Astyanax mexicanus: one gene and its partner. The protein of the gene in region 1 interacts with the protein of each later gene in a pairwise test. Links are inferred from orthologs where the notes say so. Each region holds a gene or a part of one and is shown on either strand. Other genes may lie near its edges.

Region 1 (11,271 bases):
TTAAAGTATAGTTTGAAGGAATAATCGAGTGAAATATTCAAATTTACACTTTTTAAATAATATTTCAAAAAAGTGTTTCATAATCCTGGCCCTGGTTGCACATGATATTTTACTGTTCCTGAAGAAAATCATTTTTTTGGACGAATCACTGCTTTAACACACCAGTACAATTCTAAAAGTGCTTGTAAATGAGCGGATTAACTGAATATGGTGTGTTTGGAGAAGGGAAAGCTATTAATGTGCATGTAAAGGGGATTTAAGACCAGAAACATGCCATGTTTGGTTTGTGAAGTTTGCTACTTTACCTCTGTACTGGAGCTACAACGTTCATGTTGCACTAAATGAAAGAGCATCTCTTTCAGGAGACAGGACAGATTTGACTTTAGTTACATTAGACTTGTAGCTCTAATGCAAATTAAAGAAGCACACTCCTTATATCAAACACATCTAAGCTGATCCATTATTAACATATCCATCACAGCCACAAACCTGTCCATGACCTAATTCATAATTTATAGTTTGTTTAGTTATTCTATTCCCACTCTTAACAGAAAACATAAATTTTCTCCTCACCACTAGGAACTGGATCTCATCCAACAGTTTTCCATTATTAGTGTTGCTGATCTGAATGAGGCGGTTGCTCTGTGAGATTTGGTCCATCTGCTCCTTGACGCTTTGCAGCATCTCCTCATAACTCAGCAGCTTGCCCTCAATGGTGTCAACCTCAGTGAGAGCCTCATCCAGCAGCTGCATCAGAATGTTCACCTGCTTTTCTGACGCCATTATTGACTGGATGTTTGCCTAGAGGATAGAGAACAAGAAAAGGTTAAAAGGAAAGGATGGAAGATGACTTTTAGCTGACACATAATAATATGTGTATAACATTTGTATAATTACATATAAATAAATCATTTATTATACAATGTAAAATAAATGCACTACCAAATGATCCGAATAACTGTTCAAAATAGGAATTTGTGTTTGTTGCATCTCAAGCAATGAAGCATTACTGATTATCTTATGCAATCCTTTATGTCTGCAGTCCAGATCCAGACAGCACTCACCCCATCCAGGACCTGCAGCTCCCGAGAGAGTTTCTCAGCGAAGGCTTCGGCGTTGGAGATGGCACATTCACACACTTCCATCATGTTCTCAATGTCCTGCTCCTCCCGTGCATTCAGCTCCTGGTAGTCATCCAGAGCATCCTCATCACCCCCGGCAACACTCTGGCTCTCGCCACTGGGAACCGACTCTGTGGAGGAAATGCAAAATGTGTAAAATGTGATTCCTAGAGGTTGTGCAGAATGTCTATGGCACCTCTGATTATGGGCTGTGTACTGGTAAGAACCTGCCATCCAAAATCCACAGGGAAAAGAAGAACAGCAAAACTCTGCTACCACCGAATTGCAACTCTTTCATAAAGTCAGGCCTGATTACCAAACCTGTGTAACCTTATAACTGTACTGATAAGCTTGGGAAGAAGCTACTGTAATTCTATACATGACTCCTTTGTCTGTTTCAGTGTCCCACCTTTCACACACCTTACTTTAAAAACATGCATCTCACTAAGTCAAAATTAATAAATCAAAGAACATAATTTCCTGAAACATACAAACACATACATATGCGTATGAATGCTATTCAGAATACATATAGGATCTGTCAGGGCTGTGTGATTCCTAATTAATAGAGAACTATAAATGTATGAACTCAAATCTCTTTTCACATAAATACACAATTCCCAATTTTTTGCATAATAGCAGTGTTTGTATAAAATATAAAACATGGTTTGTATTGCACACAAAAAGTGATGTATGAAAAGTATGAGAGTAAACTCAAGACAAAACAAAAACTGTTACAGGCAGGGCTGAAACTGAATGATGGAAAACAGAAAAAAAAATAAAACATGGATGGAAATGAAGAAAGTTATAGAAATCGGGTACAGTACCAACCTTCAGCTTTAGGAAGTTCTGACCAGTGAGAGATTTTAAGAGAAGAGTACAGAACATAGGTTATAAGAGTATAATTCCACTCACTTAAAGACAGACAGACAGAGAGAGGGAGGGAGAGAGGGAGAGAGAGAAAGAGAGAGAGAGAGAGAGAGAGAGAGAGAGAGAGAGAAAAGGGGGATGAGTAAGCAAAAGGGAGAAAGAGAGGAGAGCAACTGTGTGAGAGAGTTCAAAGAGAGCAAAAGAAAAAAAAAAGAGAGATTTTTAGTCTAAACTACATTTTATATTAATACCAAATTGTCTCTAATCTCTAAGAGTGACAATTACACTTACTTCCTGCATCTATTAGTAACAATGCAAAATCTTTAATAACATGTTGTTACTACAGTACATGCATCATGCTAGTTATAACACATCTCCACCATTAAACCTCAGCGCTCAATTAGAAACAATAGTAGGTTCTACCTTCCAGCAGCTGGGAGCTGACATTTACAAACTCCACTTTCTTTCTCAGGTAGCGCTGATTCAGCTTCCAGATGCAGGAAATAAAGGAGTTCTTCTCTGCTGTGCTGCTGGCCACCCAGCGATACACTTTCTCAAAGTGTAGGTCAAACTCTGGATTCTCCTGCAGGAAGTCAAAGTAGACGATAAGACAGAGAGAATGGCTGGAAACAGAATCTCTGAATCTTCTGAGGGTGCAACGTGGAAATTCTCAATAATCCTTGGATCAAAACGAACACGTGAAACACACTTGCACATTTGTAGTTGTTCCATCACAGACAGTCTATCTTAAATTAAACTATTTGTTCTTTCGTGTCTGAATTGGCATTTTCAATACAAATTTTATTAACAAACTTGAATACTAGTAAGAAACAACAGTAAAACAGATTAGTCAATACCCAAACAATAAGAATGATTCTCAAATTATTTATTTCTTATTGTATATACAAATGGATGCAACAAAGAACAACAGCCAGATTACATTTTTTTTATATAAAAATTATGTCAATGTTAAAAACACGATTCTTGCAGGCAAGATCATTTTTATGACGATGTGAAAATGCAATCATTTTTTTTTTTTTACTTAATTTAAGATGTTATTTATCCAATTCGTCCTCTTATTATTACTATTATGTGATACTATTTTGTGTTATGTTAATATTACAGAATGTGAGCTTGTTTTAAATATAAAATCTCACCTTGTTAGCATCTTTGGCATCAACCTCAGCCAGGTCACGAAGCTCCCAGGCCATCTGTCTCTTGTAAAAGTCTCCTTTGTCTGACTTCTTTACTTTTACCACCCTGACCTGCACTGGGCGCTCCGTTGTCACTGGAACAGAAAAAATTAGTAAATTTGCAGTGACATTCCCAGTTACAAACTGCCATGAATAAATATTAGCAGTCTCTGAATTCTACAACATTACATAATAATCTAATATCAGACGCGTTTTAAACTGGTGTCTCACTACGCATCATTCTTTACCTGTGGCACACAGGAAACAATTCTTCTTCTTCTTCCCGGCCTTACAGACGTTGACGATGCTAAGCAGGCGCTCATCGTTGGGAGTAAAGATGTCCCTCTGGAGAGCATGCTTTATGGCAGTCATTTTGCCTCCTAGAAAAGGTACATTCTGATTACAAACTCAAAAAGGCATGAGTATAAGGCTGGTTTGGAAGAAAAGAGATTCTAAAGCACTTCCTAAAGTAGACGAACAAAACTATAAGATTATTATATGTCGAAGACTCTAAACTCTGGTGTCACTTCTTAAATTTAAATAGCTGTTCACCAATTTTACATGATTCTATTGTAAAATGTTAAAATACCTTCTTTTAGGTGGTATTGCACAGAAAACACACGCTATACTAATGTTTGAAAATATGACAAATCTATATTTCAATATATTTTTTTAATTTCGGTCGATATCATACAATTCTGATATTGATATGAACAGTAAAAAAAGCCACCACCCCTGGTGTATGTAATTTCACAGTGAGAGCTGGGTGATATAGTAAAAGTATATATATATATATATATATATATATATATATATATATATATATATATATATATATATATATATATATATATTGACATATATATTGTCTATATTACAATCATGAAATTACCTTACGATTTATTGTCCCAGAAATTATTGCGATATATGATATTTATGTAATTTTAGGACTATTAAATGCCACTGACATAATGAAAACAGAATAGCATAAAAAAGTAATTATACACTTTTTAAAGGAAAAAAAAAAACAATTTATTTTAATTAGTCTGGGAATGATATACTTATTTCTTCACCTACTTTAGTTCACACTGTGTGTATGTTATGGCGTCACAGTTGTTAAAGCATGACTCGCTAAAATACTATTCACTGTTATATGTGTGGACAAACATACAAAAAAACACAATAGACGATATCACGATTATCAAAAATTATTGAGGTTGTGTTAATTTATTATACGATAAATCAATATTGCAATTATTGTGACAAGCCAGAACCAGTAACTTTTAAAATGTCTATTATTAAAACGTTTAAAATAATTATTCATATTGCAACTTTTAAAATAATAAAAAAAAAATCTAAAAAATAATAATAATGCTTATTATTGTTGTCCTTGTGCTATTATTATAGGAAAAAATCTCAATATTCTTTAAATATATGCACGATTCATCATTAAGATATTTAGTTTTTAGACACATTCAGTTTATTTTTTCATTTGTTCATTTGTAAACAGAAAGCACACTTTAACATTAAATGCACTGGTCAGCCGTAACATTATAAACCAATACCCTAACAACACCAATCCTCTATGTTTGTATGAATCATTTGAATAACTAATGTTTTCTTTGTAAAACAGAAAACCAAGAGCCTACTGAATAGCGGATAACTACAGATACTTTAAAAGTGGATCCCTGCTTGGCAGCACACAGGGATGTGTGGTGGAGATGGCAGGTGGATATCTTAGTTTTGACATGTGTCACATTAGACTGATAGCCAGCCAGCCAACCTAGCGTAGCTACCTTAGCTAGCTAAACTAGATTAGCTACAATGCTAACAGATAGCTGAGTTAACTATCTGACATCTTGAGAGCTAACAAGATGTACAAATTCTCTGTCTGCACTGCCCAGTTTAAAGTCATTTCTTAACGCCACACGATTTCCTGACTGTCCGAATGACCCTGAGTTGTTGACTCTGTTTGTTTAAATGAAGCTAACCCAGCTAACACTGAGCTGCAGGACTTCCCCCGGACAGGCCGTGTTTACCCGCTAATAATAATAAGACCTCACCTCAATACAGGGCCGCACAGCCTCCAGCACAGCGAACAACAGCGGTTTATCCTTCACACAACAAACCCCGTCCACATTAACCTATAAAAACAGCGCTAACATTACTGTCTATTTCACGGCCACAGCCCAACCTGCTCCACCATCACAACAACAGCCCTGTTTCCGCTGCGGAGCTCCTTCAGCTGGAGCTCTGACTCCGCTCCCCGGCTCTCTGACTGCAGCGCGGCCTACCGGCCCGGAGCCACTAATAACACTCACATAGACATTATATACATTTACATCATATACATTTACATATATTTACATATATACAGTACAGGGCAAAAGTTTGGACACACCTTCTCACTCAAAGCGATTTCTTTATTTTTTCATGACTATTTACACTGTAGATTCTCACTGAAGGCATCAAAACTATGATAAACACGTGTAGAGTTTTATGTACTTAACAGAAAATGAGCTGGAATCCACAGTCACCGGACCTGAACCCAGTCCAGATGGTTTGGGGTGAGCTGGACCGCAGTGTGAAGACAAAGGGGCAACAAGTGCTAAACACCTCTGGGAACTCCTTAAAGACTGTTGGAAAACCATTTCAGGTGACTACCTCTTGAAGCTCATTGAGAGAATGCCAAGAGTGTGCAAAGCAGTAATCAGAGCAAAGGGTGGCTATTTTAAGGAAACTAGAATATATATATATATATATATGTTATTTTACCATTTTTTGTTAAGTACATAAAACTCCACGTGTTCATTCATAGTTTTGATTCCTTCAGTGAGAATCTTCAATGTAAACAGTCATGAAAATAAAGAAAACGCATTGAAAAAAAAAGGTGTGTCCCAACTTTTGGCCTGTACTGTACATTTCTACATATTTATACATATTTATGTATAAATGTCTATGCTCTCACATATAGCCACTGCTGTGTGAGTCGATATTAAAGGACCAATTTGTGGGACATTCCAGGATTTTGGTACATTTCCTGTCCGACCACTTAAATTTCAAATGTACATATCCAAAATATCTAAATGACTATTTTTTGTGAAAAATGTACTTGTTATAAGACAAACTGTAAAATATGGTGGAAAAATAAGCTCCTTATATATTATTCAAAAGAGTTTGGACCACCTCAAAAAATGGCTGTTTTCTCTTGTCCCACACATTGGGTGACCAACTCCTTTGGCAAATTTAACAATTAAAATAAGCTCTAAATAAATTACTTCCTCTTGTTGATATGTGTCCCACAACATGCGCGCAACCCTGTTACCATAAGGAATTTTACCTGGCAGAGAAAGAGTTAAAAATATTTGTCTACTACCACAAAGGAAGTTACATCACAAGGACATTTTCTGCCCACATGGCAAGACCAAGAGTAAGTGCTCTAACAATTTTCCAAATGTCCAAGTTGTGTGTGTCACTCAGTGAACGCAACCCTGTTACTCATGTTGTAAGACTAATAATGAGTATAGTCAATTTTTTCTTTATATAATTATATAACCATGTTTGTCCTTGATCTTGTATACACAGCTAAATTTTACAGTTAGCATCTGTTCCTGAGGTAAACCACAACTTAATTTAAAAAACTGCTTTGATACCTGAGCTTGACAAATCAAACTTTTTGATAGTCTATTACCTGTGTTTAATAAATATATGACTAAAATGATCAAATTGAAGATCAAATTTTCAGAAGTGACCATCTCTGAAATCCTGGAATGTCCCATGTGTTATATTTTCAGATTTTGCAGGTTAACTAACTAGCTAATGGCTTATATTAACTCACCATCACAATTAAACATTGTGAATACATACATTAGCTAATCAACAACTATGCTTGCATTGTAAAATTCATCATGAGCTTATTTTGCACTTGTTTGTGTAGGAGGGGGTGGGGCACATAGCAGCTCTTACCAGTACTGTAAAATTGAACTGTGGTAGCCATTTTACACACTTGTGGTCATTTAAGCAATAATACACGAGAGGCAGTGCGGCCTGTGGCCTAATGCCTAAAGCAGTGCCAATATTACACGCTATATCACAAACCTCGAGTGTATTATTGCGATTATACCACAGCTCTTTTATGGCTGTTTATTTAAAAAAAAATGTAGTTAAAGAGGATAAGAAAATGCAATCTATTTGGTTATAAAAGCAAGTTAAAATAGTTCCATTGTTGCTCTGTTTGTAGCTGCGCTGTTTGGCTTGTACCAACCGGCTGATAATGGCACTCACAGAACGCCTCGCAGCCAATCACATTGCAGGGTTGGAACTGTGGTTTCTTTTAATAATTATTTAGGCAGTAACTTAATATATATTTTGTTAAACCGGTGGTGTAAAGTGGTGGTAAAAAGTGCAAACATATCATGTCACATCATCAGAAATAGTTAATTTGAGACATACACATTTGCTTCTGTTTTTTACTTGTAATGTTTGTAAATATGTCGCTATCTAAAAAATTTAAACTTGGTATCACTGTCTGTCAGATGTAAAATACAATTAATTTAGACCTACTTTCTCCTTTTCTGTTTCTGGTAGCCGCTCAGATATCATGCCCAAATGGGGCCTGTGTGGGTAACCCAATAGGAAAACAGAAAGTTTGGTCCATGGGTTCCATGTTGGCCCCACATATGGGTATAACGGTTGACCCTATCGAGGTCAGTGATAGGACTAGACGTGGGGTATGCACACCATCCACTGCAGAGTTTCTGTTCAAGAGTGGTAAGTTTCAGTACCAGACAGCTACATTGTTAAAAACTAAAGATACTAAATGTTTTACTTCCAGTCATGTAGTTGTAGAATCATGTTTTTCATAGTTGTCTTTGTTCACACTAGATGTAGATAATGCAAACGATGCAGATGAAGATTCTTTCTGTGGAGGTTGATGTACTGTATATGGACTCTATAATGCCTGAGCATGCTCAGTTAACACAACAGAATTACACACCTGTAAACTTTATATTTGCGAAACATGCAGCTGTAAGTCATTTTTAAAGCAAACTTGTTTTTTAACTTGTGTAGTCTGATCAGAAGACAAACCATGGAAAAGTGAAATATCAAAACATACAGCCGTGTTTCTGTGATGACTCAGGGTCATGACAGTCCAGTGTGGCCTGAGGAGATGACGGGTAGACGTGGCAGCCTGATAAAAGACAAACACTAAAGAGTGTGATGGTGACATTTCACTTTAGCAACACTTCTCACCTACACACAGCTGACTGTGACTCACACAGCATGTTGTATTTTTTTTTTATTATTATTATTATTTATTTATTTTTTTTATAATGTGTTTTTATGTTTTTACCAACCATTTATATTCTGGGTCCCCTCAGTTTCTCTTCTCAAGGGGTGATTATTGTTAGCAGGTCATTACAGTGAAACATCAGTGCTATGATAATTTTTTTTTCTTTTTATAGGGGTATCTCCAGTGTTCCACCAGTGAGACACAGGCAAGACAAGAGAGTTGGTCAAATCCTGTACAGTATCTGGAGGAGTCGGCAATAGCTGTTTGACTGGGACCTTTCTAGACTATTTGTTGTACAACACAATATCTTTTATTAAATGTAGCCCAGTCTTTTTTGAGAGAAAGGTTGTGTAGCTGTTAGAAGTTGTTAGTACGTTAGAAGTTGGAATGCAAAAAACTGAAAAGCCTCAAACAGAGGTACAAGATGAGATTCAGAGAACTGCTCTGGAATAAAAACTTTACTTTTAATTATAAGTATCTTATTTATAGTTTACTTAAAGAAATATGGCTACAGTAGTAATTTCTGCAGTGCACCTGAGTTTCCAGTGGTCCTCCAGTGGGATCAATGTCTCCTTAACAGCCAACAGTCAACACATAATGTGTTGATGACATAGGTTATAAGATGAAATATGGTTGACTCTCTAATTACAACTGTAATCATTTATTAATGTTATTTTTATTTATTTCATGATCTATAAGTACTCAAATAGCTAGTCTGTGATACAGTCCTTTGCTAATAACTCTTGCACTTCAGTCTTTAGTGACTTCAGTATAGAAAAAGATGCATTTTTAAATATTTTGAGTAGTGTCTGTAAAGAATTTGCCTCATTTTGCCTTGGTTTAATCAAGAATAAAACAAGAAAATATTGTGGGGGGTCTTAACATTCGCCACAATCAACTAGTTCTAGTAATGGCCTTGCCTTTCCTGATAACGGACTTGGACTTGTTCTTGCTCTTACTGAGAAAATAAAACCTTCTCGAAATAAAACTGCTGAAGCTGTTGGCATGCTCTCAGAACCGTTACATTATTTAATGTGTTTGGCAGTACTTGGATGGTCAAAATCATAAAACGCTCCAACTTCTAAGCCTGAACTTTGATGGTTTGGAAAAATGTCAGTGCAGATTTTTGAAGTGAAAACTCACCTGTATTTACGTATTTAGCATATATTGTCAGCATACATTTTTGAGACTTTTGAAAAAATGTGAATGTAAAAATATATTGAATGCCAAATGCAAGTCATAATTATTAAAAAAAAAAAAGGTTTAAAAAATGCTCATAGAAGAGAACTTTTATTCAGTAATGAAAATTGCCATTTATGAATTATTTAAAGTGTGTGACAGTAATCAATGCCTGCAGTAAACTTTTCATCCACTAAGAGGAGCTGTCTGCAGTCACTTTGTGAACCTGTGTAGGGGGAATGGTGCTTGTATGTAACATCAAATGATTAAAACCGTGGAAGAGATCTGTAAGAAATGTAAATGTGTAATTCAGATTTAAAGGTACACAATTACATCTTAGATACATGAACAGCCCTTTACCATCACCATCCTTGTCCTTTTACAAGCTGGCCTATTTCTAACATACTCAGAATAGCGTAATTGGTGGTTTTGTCAGTGGACTATTCATATTGTGATTGTAGTTTATATGTTTTGCTGTTATTATGTGGATATTAGTCTTGGTGAGGCCTATGTAACCTTTTGTTGAGATCATTTGTGTAATTAAGTCTAGGATTAGGCTGATATTTTGTCATTAGCTTTTCTGTGGTAAAGGTTATGAAAGCATTTCTCTTGTTCACCTCAGAAGGGTGTATATTTTGTCTGCTGAAGCTCATTAACTTACTTACCTAGGAATCATTTAGGTGACTGAATGTTTTGAATATGCTGTATTCTGATATATTCAACAGCCAGTTTGGTCATTGTGCCTGTGAGACAGACCTGGATAATGCACTAAAGAGCCAATTTTTCCTTCCGGCTGTTCTATTCAGGCGTATTCACAGTCCTTTATAGCTGTGCTATTTCAGTGTGAAATTAGAGGTGAACTCTAACCTTTAAGTGACCTGAAAAAACCCTTAACTATAGAGTGACCATCCACTACTGCAGTTAATTTACATCAGTGTTGCTCACCTGGCTCATTTATTTTCAATGCTTTTACACAGTTTAATCAGTAATATAACAAAGTTAAATCAGTGTTGAATTATGTGTTTGTTTTGAAAGGTAAATCAACATTGACATTGCAACTTTGTTTTAACATCTTATTTTTTAACATTTAACAAATAATAAATTATTTTCCTTTATTCTACATTGTACAATCTTGAAGAAGATGGTTTTTCAAGGGTTTAGTAGAACCATCAATTTAAATTAAACACTTTTTTCTAATAATTGTCATATTTGTATGACTAAAACATTACATGGTTTCCAAGTTAAAAAGTATTTTGTTAACATTTTCTCGACCATTTAAAATAACCCGTTGTTTCAACATTTTTTTTACATTAAAACTGCAATTGGTATTTTTTCCACCACATTTTAAAATAGAAGGTCGGTCATGGGCCGGAGATGCTAGCTTATGCTAGCAACCTAGCTTATTAGGTAGACAGGCAAACAGACAGACAGCTGCAGGGATCTTAAAACGGAAAAAGGAAATGGATGTCTGGAGGAAAATGCTGCTGGCTCATTTTACTAAGATGAAGGTGCTTTATTAAAATTCAGATTTCTACATTTAAACTGATTTCTATAGAACAAGTATTGTCACACGCATACAAACAAAAACACTGAAGTGTCCTACGTTGGTCCTTTA
Region 2 (10,962 bases), on another chromosome or scaffold:
AAATCGTTTCAACTTACTCATGTCCCAATCACACACATACAAACTCACGTTCCTCACAGACATTTCAATACGCCCCCACACCTGCCTTTTACAGATCTGAATTCACTGATGAAACGCACACACACACACACACACATACACACTCTAGAAGCTTCCTCAGTGAGCTCTGCATGTTTCAAGCTGTTGCTGATGCGAGCCAGAACTCTCTTTCTCCTCTCTAGTCCATAAAGATGTCTGCACTCACATAATTACAGCATTCAGAGGCCAGCGCTCTTACAATTTCTCTGCTGGCAGTTACACTGTCTGTACCACACACACACAAACACACACACTGTCCTCAGAATCACTCCCTATTACAGGAATAGTGCTCTATATAATGTATGTGTCCTTATGTCCTTGATATATTCCAAATATATTCTAAAGTCTGTAAACACTCTGTATAATATATTCACTGGCCAAAAGTCTGTCAATCAGTGTGTCAATTAATCATGAAGTGCTGCCGTAGAGGACAGCTCGAGAAAAGCCCACACCTGGGTAAATAGTGAGGTGTTTTCTTGTATGTGAGCTTGAACACTGGCCAGCAAGCTCATAGCAAAGCAACGTGAATTATCAGTGTTTAAAAAGACCTGACCCGCGCAAACAAACAAGCAACTCTGGCAAAAATCACATCCACATTTAATCCAAGAGACCCACATGACCTACAGGTCAATGCAGCATGACCCACTTTGACCTAGTTTACACGGGATATGACAAATGTCCTGGGACACAATACTAGCTCATGTCCCATGATGAAGTCAGCCACCGCCTGCTGCTAATGTACCATTGCGGAGTAACCAGTGCGCTCGGAGGAAAGTGCAGCGCCTCGGCTCCGAAACATCAGCTCACAGACGCCTTGTGCTGATCGACATCACCCTTTGGAGTGATGAGGGGAAACAGTGCCATCTACCCACCCAGAAAGAGCAAGGCCAATTGTGCTCTCTCAGGGCTCCAGCAGCTGATGGCAAGCTGCATGACCGGGATTTGAACCAGCGATCTTCCAATCATGTCCCATGATATTTGGCATGTCTGGTACCTTTGACAAGTTGTACTGTTTCTATTTATCATAAATTTAGCGTTTACACATTTAAAAGTGTAGAAGCTGTATGTAAATTATGCCTAAAAATCAATGTAAAAAACTAATATATATATATCACTGACATGCCAGAAGTCATGGGATAGCACTATGTAAATTAATCATGAAGTGATCATATAAACTAAGCTTTGATGGTCAAGGTAGTTGAAAAGTAAAAAAGTAAACAGTAAAAAACATGCCCATTTTTCTGTTTGCATGGATAATTCTAGCAAGGCGCCACTGGTCACGATCATTACCAGCCACTGTGCTGTCCCCTGTGGGTGCTAATTATATGATGTACATATTTCTGCTACACATGTGACACTATATGTGTTAAAAAAAAATGTGGCACTTTGCCAACAGCACACAGACATGAGCGTTTCCAAGCCATCCCCCGAGGTAACACTTCATGATCAATTTACATCTGGCTATTCCATGACTTCTGGCATGTCAGTGTATATACTGTATATGTCACAGAATTTGCAAGTTACCTGTGTGTTTGTATGTGTGTGTGTTGTGGCTACCTAATCACACTGCCTCCTACCAAACTCCACCACCCGATGGGTGGACCCTTAAAATGCCAGCATGTCGTTCTGTTTGAGTGAAGGCTATTTCTCTCTTTGCTGCTCTCTCGTTCTGCACTCAGCCAGGTTACCCTGGAAACACGGCTGAAGGCAGGAACAATGGGACAAAGTAAAGCTGCACTCATCAGGATCCAGCGCTCCAGAGAAGAGAAAACACTCTAACTCAGCACTGTTGACATTTCTGGCCCACAGACAACAAACTGAACTCTCATACAGTATCTCACCATTACAGCATTAACACCTACAGATAGTGTGCAGCACTCGTCCTCAGCGCTTACGCCTCACACCTCACATACACATTACGCACACTTAAGCCTGCTATTAACTCACAGTACTCTCCGTAACCCATAATACTGCATGTGCATAGTGCTCTTCAGTAGGAATTTGTCAGACAAAAGTGCCCTGCTTAATAAAGGGGCTACTACAGTATGCTGCTGTACTCTCAGCTCCTTTATTCACCTTTAAAAAAAACTCCTGCCTTAAAGCACATTCTTTTATTTCTTCTCATTCCCTTCATATTCACGTCATACACTGCATTCATAATACCAAAACTAACCACAAAGTTACACTGAAGAGTTCATTTGCAAAAACACATAAAGGTCTATTTAAAGAAGAGCACTTATCTGTTTTTGCAAATTAACTCTTCAGATGTTCCTTGTTTCTTGTCAGCATTCCAGTGCATACACTGGCCTTATATTTAGGTAAATCATTTTATGTCATTTATATATGACAGTTTATGTATGCATTTTTTTTCTTTGCGAATTTGGCTCAGGAAGTGTATTTAATGCACTCAATATTCTGACCGTAATTGGGTTTCTCCAGTTATGTAAGTTATTGTTTATTTTTCATTTGCACAACATGTCAGGACATTCCTGCACTAGAATGTTTATGCTAATTATTATATACATGTAAACAGCACACTTTGATTTTTTTTTTTTAGAATGCATTAAGGCCTAGGCCACTACCTGCTAGTGAGCTACCACATCATGTGGGAGACTGGGGTTCAATTCCCAGTCTGGGTGACTATGCCGCGCTACACCAATAAGAGTCCTTGGGCAAGACTCCTAACACTACATTAGTCCACATCTGTGATAGGAATAATCCTTATTTGGACAATAGAGACACACTCTAACCTTGGATAGGTTACTTTTTATTAAATTATTTGATAAAAAAAAGTTTGTTTACTGGAACTGTACTTAATTCAACTTCACAATTTTGTGTTATATCAATTGCTATGGTCAAGCAAATAAAACAGATGGAAAAAAGCTAGTTGCAAGTCTAATTCAAACTAATTGTAATTGTACAATGAAAAGTTAGGGTAAAGTTATTTAAGATTTAGAATTTTATAGGTGAGTGTACATCAGCATCATCATGAAGATCAACATGTCCAGTTCCACTGTGGATTTATATGTTTGGAATTAAAAGTGTACATAGAGCTTTTTGACATTGTAGGCCTGTAACAAATCAGTACGGTGGCCGAGAAAGCCCAGCGCAGTGCAAATTGAAAAGCGCTGCAAAAGCACAAAACACATTCATCAAAATTACAACACAGGCGCAGCAAATAGAAAAACGCGCTGCAAAAAGAAAAACGCGCTGCAAATAGAAAAACGCGCTGCAAATAGAACCACAACACAACGGAAGTGAGTCACAACACAACAGAATTTTCCCGGGGGACCTTAAAAGATGCTGTACCAGCTGTATACAAAGGACAATAAGTGGCAAACAAGCTTCTGAAAAGTAAGTTATGTTTATTACCTGTGATTACCACGGTTGTGTGCATATTATTAAAAGTTCTGCTTCACAAAACGCCTTGTTTGCCACTTATTGTCCTTTGTACACATAGTGAAGTCCGAGACGTTACTGAAGACGCAGCTTAGCTGGTACAGTATCTTTTAAGGTCCCCCGGGAAAATTCCGTTGTGTTGTGACTCACTTCCGTTGTGTTGTGGTTCTATTTGCAGCGCGTTTTTCTAGTTGCAGCGCGTTTTTCTATTTGCTGCGCCTGTGTTGTAATTTTGATGGATGTGTTTTGTGCTTTTGCAGCGCTTTTCAATTTGCACTGCGTTGGGCTTTCTCGGCCACCGTAAATCAGAGAGTAGAAAACAACTGCCAAACTAATTAGCCACCAGAAACTTCCAGGAACTGAGAAGACCTGCAGAAAAGGGCCCTGCGGATGTGTCACACTAGATGTAAATGCCATTTTAAAATTATAATTGAATCCATGCACCTCACCCAACCATCTGTTATGCAAATTCCTTAATAAGCAATGTCACCAGTAAAGCTTCATGGAGTAGCTGAAATTTAACCTGGGTGCCCTTCACATTTTGCCTCCTCAAGACTCAGCAGAATAAAACTGAGGAACTCTGTAGAGTCAGTAACAGCAGACACACATATTAAACACTCCAAATAAACTGCCAGTCACATTATCTCACTTGTCTTCTTGCAGCTGCAAACCAATTTCTTTCTCCAGTATAAAACACACTTTTCCAGAGTTAGGGGGCATAATGATCCATGCTAATTTTAAAATACTGTTCACAAGCTTTCCTTGTACTTCTAATCTGTGTGTCTTTAGTGTGCTTATCCCTAATGTTTTATATTCACATCAGTACACATCTCCAGCATTCTGGAGATCCTGCTTTTGTGGAGTAAACATTTCTACTGTCCAGGGACGACTTTCCACCAGATATTGCATTAATGAGATCAGGATGCTGAATTGTCACCACTCTCATTCTCATCCTCATCTTCCCAACTCACCTCAGTACTGAAATGAGTGTCATTATTCCAGAGAACACTGTTCCACTGATCAATACTAGTGAGATTTATACATCTTCACTCCATGCCTGACATTAAACAATAGGTTCCTGTTTATCTGCTCCAGAGAGAGCTATTTTATTACCAATACATCTCTATGGAAACTATAGAAATGCTTTGTGTGTGCATTTCATTGTAATCTCAAGTATCTCAAGATTCGTCGATTTTAGTTTTCTATATAATTTTTTTGAACACACAAACTGATGAATGGACCAATAGATTTGATGAATGGACCAATAGAAATAATCCAAAATTACCTTAAATAATCTCTTTGACTTCCATAAAAAGTTAAGAAGGTTTTATCTCTCTCCTGTAAAGTTGCTGTTTTGGAGATACATGTGTTTCATTGGACAGTTACGGTTCCCACATATGTCAGCAATAGATGCACAAATTTCCTTTACTTTTTGTGCTATGTTTATAGTTGAAAGTACCATATATTGATGTCCTGCTGTGCATGTACTCACTGTTTTTTATAGCTTTTAAATACTTACTATTGTTTTGTATTACTGTTCTGTATTGTGTAATTACTGGCTACTGGCTGCTAAATTACCATCTGAATCAATAAAGTATCTATGTATGAATCTATCTATGTATCTGTCCTACTGAAGAAGTGTTAGATAGATAGGAAAGATTTGGGACACAGCATCGGGAGTGCAGGGGCTGCAGAATACCTCCTCACCTAATTCGCTTTATGGTCACGTCTTGAGTCGTCGTGTCTTTTTTTAAGTGCTGTGTGATGTCTCGGTAGGAGTTTAGTTTTTTTGTCTGGACGCCGGCCACAGCTTGCTGCTTGCTGTTTGGCTAAGCCGTTGAATATGGCAGCTGCCTTGACCAATATCTGCTTACTGTGGGCTTTAGTTAGTGATGTAAAGCGCATCCTCCGCGGTCGGTGATTGGTCGAGGCTGTGGTCCCGCCCCTGCAGTATAAATCTCCCCTCCTCCGGGTCTGTGCGCTCATTCCGAGGAGAGGGGGCTGCGCGCGGACGGAGGGGAGATTTACAGCCGGGGTCTGTAGCGCTTGTTTTGTTTTTCTTTACATTCCCGGTTTTTTCCCACCGTTTTGGAGCCACTATGGAGGAGATGGAGGAAGAGCTGAAGTGTCCGGTGTGCGGCTCGTTTTTCCGCGAGCCCATCATCCTGCCCTGCTCGCACAATATCTGCTTGGCGTGCGCGCGGAACATCCTGGTGCAGACGCCGGACGCAGACTCGCCACAGAGCGCGCGCGCCTCCGGCTCCGCCGCGTCCGACTACGACTACCTGGACCTGGACAAGATGAGCCTGTACAGCGAGGCGGACAGCGGCTACGGCTCTTACGGTGGCTTCGCGAGCGCGCCCACCACGCCGTGCCCCAAGTCCCCGAACGGGGTGCGCGTCTTTCCGCCGGCCCCACCGCCCCCCCAGCAGTCCCAGCAGCAGCACCTGCTGCCCCCGCCGACCGCGTCCGGCGCGCCCCCTCCACCTCCCCACCCTCACCCTCATCCCACCGCCATGATGATGATGATGATCCCCCGAAACGCCTGCCTCACCTGCCCGCAGTGCCACCGCAGCCTGACGCTGGACGACCGCGGCCTGCGCGGCTTCCCCAAGAACCGCGTGCTGGAGGCGGTGGTGGAGCGCTACCAGCAGAGCAAGGCGGCGGCGCTGCGCTGCCAGCTGTGCGAGAAGACCCCGCGCGAGGCCACCGTGCTGTGCGAGCAGTGCGACGTCTTCTACTGCGACGCGTGCCGAGTGCGCTGCCACCCGCCCCGCGGCCCGCTCGCCAAGCACCGGCTCGTGCCACCCGCGCAGGGGCGCATCAGCCGCCGCGCGAGCCCGCGCAAGACCTCCACATGCACGGAGCACGAGCTGGAGAACCTCAGCATGTACTGTGTGCAGTGCAAGATGCCCGTGTGCTACCAGTGCCTGGAGGAGGGGAGGCACTCCGCGCACGAGGTCAAAGCGCTCGGGGCGATGTGGAAACTGCACAAGGTGAGGAGGGGAAGGAAAAGCTGTGTGCACTTGTGCGTGTGCGCAGAATAATGAGGAACACCTCCAATTAGGTCTACTATAAGCATATCTACAGGTTGTAATCTGTATGTTATCCTGGAAAATGTATTTTGTTCCAAAGATAACCAATGTTCGACCTTTTATGGGTAGCCAGACAGTTTTATTCATGAGTTCCATGTTGGAACCATATGTGGATATGAGTGATGGGACCAGAAACAGGGGTTCCATTTGTGTTGTACACTTCGTATGATGTCTAGTAGGATGTTAATAAAATTAATGTTCTAATGTAAATTTCAAAATGGGATAATCAAGATTGCATAATTTACATATAAGATAATATATTAGACTTTGTTGTCCCCAATGGGGACATTATCCTTGAAAAAAAAAATACACACAACACTCTATACAACATCACATATTTACATATCAGAAATATTGCATAAACCCTTGACCTTGCTACTATTTGCATATTTTACACATTCCCTCTGACCCAACACAGACTGTGCTACACAACCCTAGACCTTACTTATATTGCACATTTTATCAAACAAAACCATGAGCGGTATTGCACATTACCTATGCTTTTTACTTAAGAGCTTTATAGAAACTGGCACAAATGAATTCCTATATCTATTGAGCTGGCATCTTGGCATCCTGTACCTTCTGCCTGAGGGGAGGAGTTGGTATTCATGGTGAAGCACATGAGATGGATCAGCCACTATTTTCTAAACTGTCAGTGTGAATCTCAGTAGATAGATGTGCTTCTGTCAGAAATCTATAAAAACTCTTTTATTTGGCAGTGGTTTTCTTTACATGTTTAATTAACTGAAATTAACATGTAATAAACCATGTTTATTACAAAAGCTGCAGGCAGGTTTAAAGGGGGCTGTTTACAGATCACTTTTTTTCAAATAAAAAATAGAAGTTGTTATGTAACAACTAAAATCGTTGTTGGGAATAACTTGATGAATATCAAGATTTTTACAATATGGCCCAGCCTCACCTTCAAGATTTAAGTTGGTTGTTATGGTCCTTATTTGCAAAGCTCTACTGGGTAACAGCACATTCAGTGCTCATGCCCACTCGGAGCCTACCTAGACCACACTGCACCCATGCGAGTCCAACATTAGCGTGTTCCAGTATAGTCAGTCTGTGTCATTAGATAGTAAGAGTTAGAGTTAAGAGTGATTCACCAGCTTCAAATATGTAGCTAATAGTTGGTTTGCAGTCAGGAACTGTCTCAGGGGTCAATTAGAAAATCTGTCACCCTGCAGGTAGGTTAAGGATTGGTGATATCTTCTGATCAAGATAATAAAGATCTTCAGTAGCATCTGAATATTGGAGCCAAGCAGATAGATTTAAACACTCCATGCTGATAGATGTCCACTCCTGGGATAGAAGGAGGTCACTAACATTAATTTATCACAGCAGTAGATCTTTGGTTCTAACTTTTTCTAACTTGTACTCACTCCAGCTATGCCGAGCTGCAATGTTGCAATAAATTGAAAAATCCATGCCAAATCTGGTAGCCATATTGCTTCTGGCTGAGGAAACTTTTCGAATGCATTCTGTAAAGAACCATCTATGACTCAGCAGTGCACTAAAGCCATGTGGGAATGATTGGATTGAATTTAAATTAAATAGAAGTGTTGTTAGGAGTGTAACAGTGCAGACTGGAGGTGTCCTCAGATTGAAGAGAACCTCACTAAAGGCAAAATATTCTTGATTTTCTCCTTTTGGTTTTATCCTAGTGGTTTCCGGTTTTGGTCTTGGAGTATACCCTATCTGAAAGTTCATATTCAAAAAGTTTTAAAAGAGAATCAATATTTGGTGGATTAACCCTGGTTTTTAATCACAGTTTTCATGCATCTTGGCATGTTCCCCTCCAGCAGTCATGCACACTGCTTTCGTAAAACTTCATGCAACTCCTGGTGCAAAAATTCAATCAGTTCAGCTTGGTTTGATGGCTTGTGATCATCCATCTTCCTTTTGATTGTATTCCAGAGGTTTTTAAATTGGTAAAATCAAAGAAACTCATATATACCCTCATATGTACCCTATCTGCAAGTTTGGTCTGTAAGGCTATGTTCAGACTGTAGGCAAATCAAATCAGAAATGCTGAGATGACTGTCTGCACTATTTATGTGTAATTGATGAGATCAGATATGCCTGTCTGGATATAACATATCTGCATGGGTTGCTGTTGTAATGATGTTGGCATCAGTAAATAATCTTTGGCATTCTTCTTGGACCCGCACACTTACGTTACTCTGGATTTGATAAGGCTGTTGTTTATTGTGTTGTGAATGACCCGAAAAATAAATGTTAAAATGCAATCTGAGCATATAGAGCATCCACACCGAGTTACATCTGTACAAGTCTGATTGTAATTGCACAAACCCAAAAGTAATTGCGCAATCTAGATTTGCAGATTTGTAAGTAGATTTGGGCTGGCAGTCTGAACATAGCCTAACACCAACTTCTACTAACCAGCTAATCTCCAATAAATATGCCACTGTTAATACATTTGTTGTGCAGAAGCATTGTAAAAGTAGTGAAAACACAAAAATCTGCAGAGCAGGGGTACTTAAGCAAGAGCACTGAGAAGCACTAGCCATGTTTATCAGAGACTGGGCTATAGAAGGTAATTTGTCCCTGTCAGGTTCTGAAATAGGGGTTTCACTCACTGAGCAGAATTCCTCTACCCCATCAAGAACCCTGTCAAGACAACAGCTATGAGTCTGTGATTGTTGGTCAGTAATGTACTGCAGTGGGACTGCATTCAGAGTGTTGACCGTTTAATAAGTTGTGACAGGAATATGCCAGTGAAGAGCCAAGACGGCGGGAATGTTCATGTTAAAATTCAGAGCACGAGCGAAACGGAGCTCGCCGTGATTCAGACCCAATAAAACAGAGCGGATAGGGGGGAGAAAGCTGTTATCTGGGTGAACAAAACATCTCTGATCATTGCACTGTAGATGCTGTGATTGATGTAGAAGACTTAATTCAGAGAGCACACTTCAGAGTGTGAAGGAAGTGTTGCTTGGGCCCAATCCCATGTTACCCCGTGCCCTTATCACTTAGCCCCAATGTCCCGATTCTTGTTGGGATAGAGGGGGAGGTGTTATGGCTCCATTTAAATGGAGATTTTTTAGACGTGCATTCCAAAAAGAGGGTTATGAGAAATCACCAACAAGATGGCTGCTCAAGCGACCATAGAATGTAAAATGTTGATAAAAATTGCATTATTTTAGTTTAAAGTAGTTACAATGTAGTATGAAACTTTTCTTCATAAGAAGCAAAAACAGACACTAGGGAAGCTATCAAGTAGCTGACCTTAGCTTGTTATCACCAAGGAATTATGGGTAGAGGTAATGCTCTAAATAAAGTCCAGCATTAGTAAGGTTGCTGAAATTTACAGCTCCTTTGCTATGACAACAGACTAGCAGGTTCACCTACAGAGCATTGCTAGTAGCCTGCTAATGAAGCATTTTTCTTTATATTTATTTTTGATGATGTATCAAATTCTTGAGGAGTTGTCCCTTTTCTTGAGGGAATTCAACTACTTTTCCTTGTAACTTAGTTAAATGTAATGTTGGCACTGGAAAACAAAAAGAAGGGGTACAAATGAGAAATTAGATTGGGCCTAAGTGCTACTTGGTCACTCAGTAAGAGCTGTGTCAGAGATTTCTCTCGTGTACCAGTAGGCCTGCATTCTTTGTCCTGTAGTTGTTGTGTAGCTGTGAAAGTAGATCATTGCAAGGGGGTCGTTCTACCTGTTCCTCATGGGAGCTTGTTCTCCATGGTGATGGTAAAGGGATATGTGTATTTGTCGCCATGGTAACATTAAAGGGATGTGTGCTTTTGGCCGACAGTAGTAAAAAAAAGCCCTTCTGCTTTTCTGTGTTTGTATGTGTGAGTATGTGTGTGTGTGTGTGTGCATCTACTGATGCTGCACAGTATTGCATTATAAATCATTTATTCATCAGAATACTGCCCTTTGCAATATTAATGTTTAGAGCACACAGTTAAGAAGCACTGTGATTGCCATCATATCAAATCACAGTTACAGAAGAGTTTTTTCAAAGCTTTTTTTTTAGTTTAAATAAAGCAGACCGTTTAACCATGACATTGTAGAAATTATCAGTACTTAGAAACACTGACCATGTGGATGTATCATTAAATAGTGATCATTAATCACATTGAACTCATAGTTCAACTCATAAATACCAACTCATTGTTGGTATTTATAAAAATGTACCAATTTTTTATTTTGTTTGTTCTAACTTATAAGGAAGATATATACTTGAATCCTTACAGCAATGCTTCTAGGAAAAATCTAGTAAAAAGCCTTGTCTGGACAGTAAAGTCAGTTACTCCAACAAAAGCAGGATCTTAACTTTTTTTAAATACCCTTGTTCTACTAAGCTATAAATGAATGAGAAGCGGAAAAAGCATATTTTTATCCATA

Evidence for each region. The genes of interacting proteins can lie anywhere in the genome.
Region 2: the proteins of exoc1 (region 1) and trim9 interact in a two-hybrid assay, tested with the Homo sapiens proteins (2 studies listed by BioGRID and IntAct). The link is inferred for Astyanax mexicanus from reciprocal best matches to the Homo sapiens genes EXOC1 and TRIM9.

The regions. Positions count from the first base shown.
Region 1 is NC_064408.1:63,948,976-63,960,246, forward strand, and holds the start of exoc1 (exocyst complex component 1), read right to left. Parts: upstream 5,435-11,271; 5' UTR 5,248-5,434; intron 3,565-5,247; 5' UTR 3,557-3,564; coding exon 3,433-3,556; intron 3,280-3,432; coding exon 3,149-3,279; intron 2,575-3,148; coding exon 2,415-2,574; intron 1,971-2,414; coding exon 1,953-1,970; intron 1,253-1,952; coding exon 1,065-1,252; intron 802-1,064; coding exon 574-801; intron 1-573.
Region 2 is NC_064414.1:38,991,804-39,002,765, forward strand, and holds the start of trim9 (E3 ubiquitin-protein ligase TRIM9), read left to right. Parts: upstream 1-5,448; 5' UTR 5,449-5,576; coding exon 5,577-6,473; intron 6,474-10,962. UniProt on the Homo sapiens protein: E3 ubiquitin-protein ligase which ubiquitinates itself in cooperation with an E2 enzyme UBE2D2/UBC4 and serves as a targeting signal for proteasomal degradation.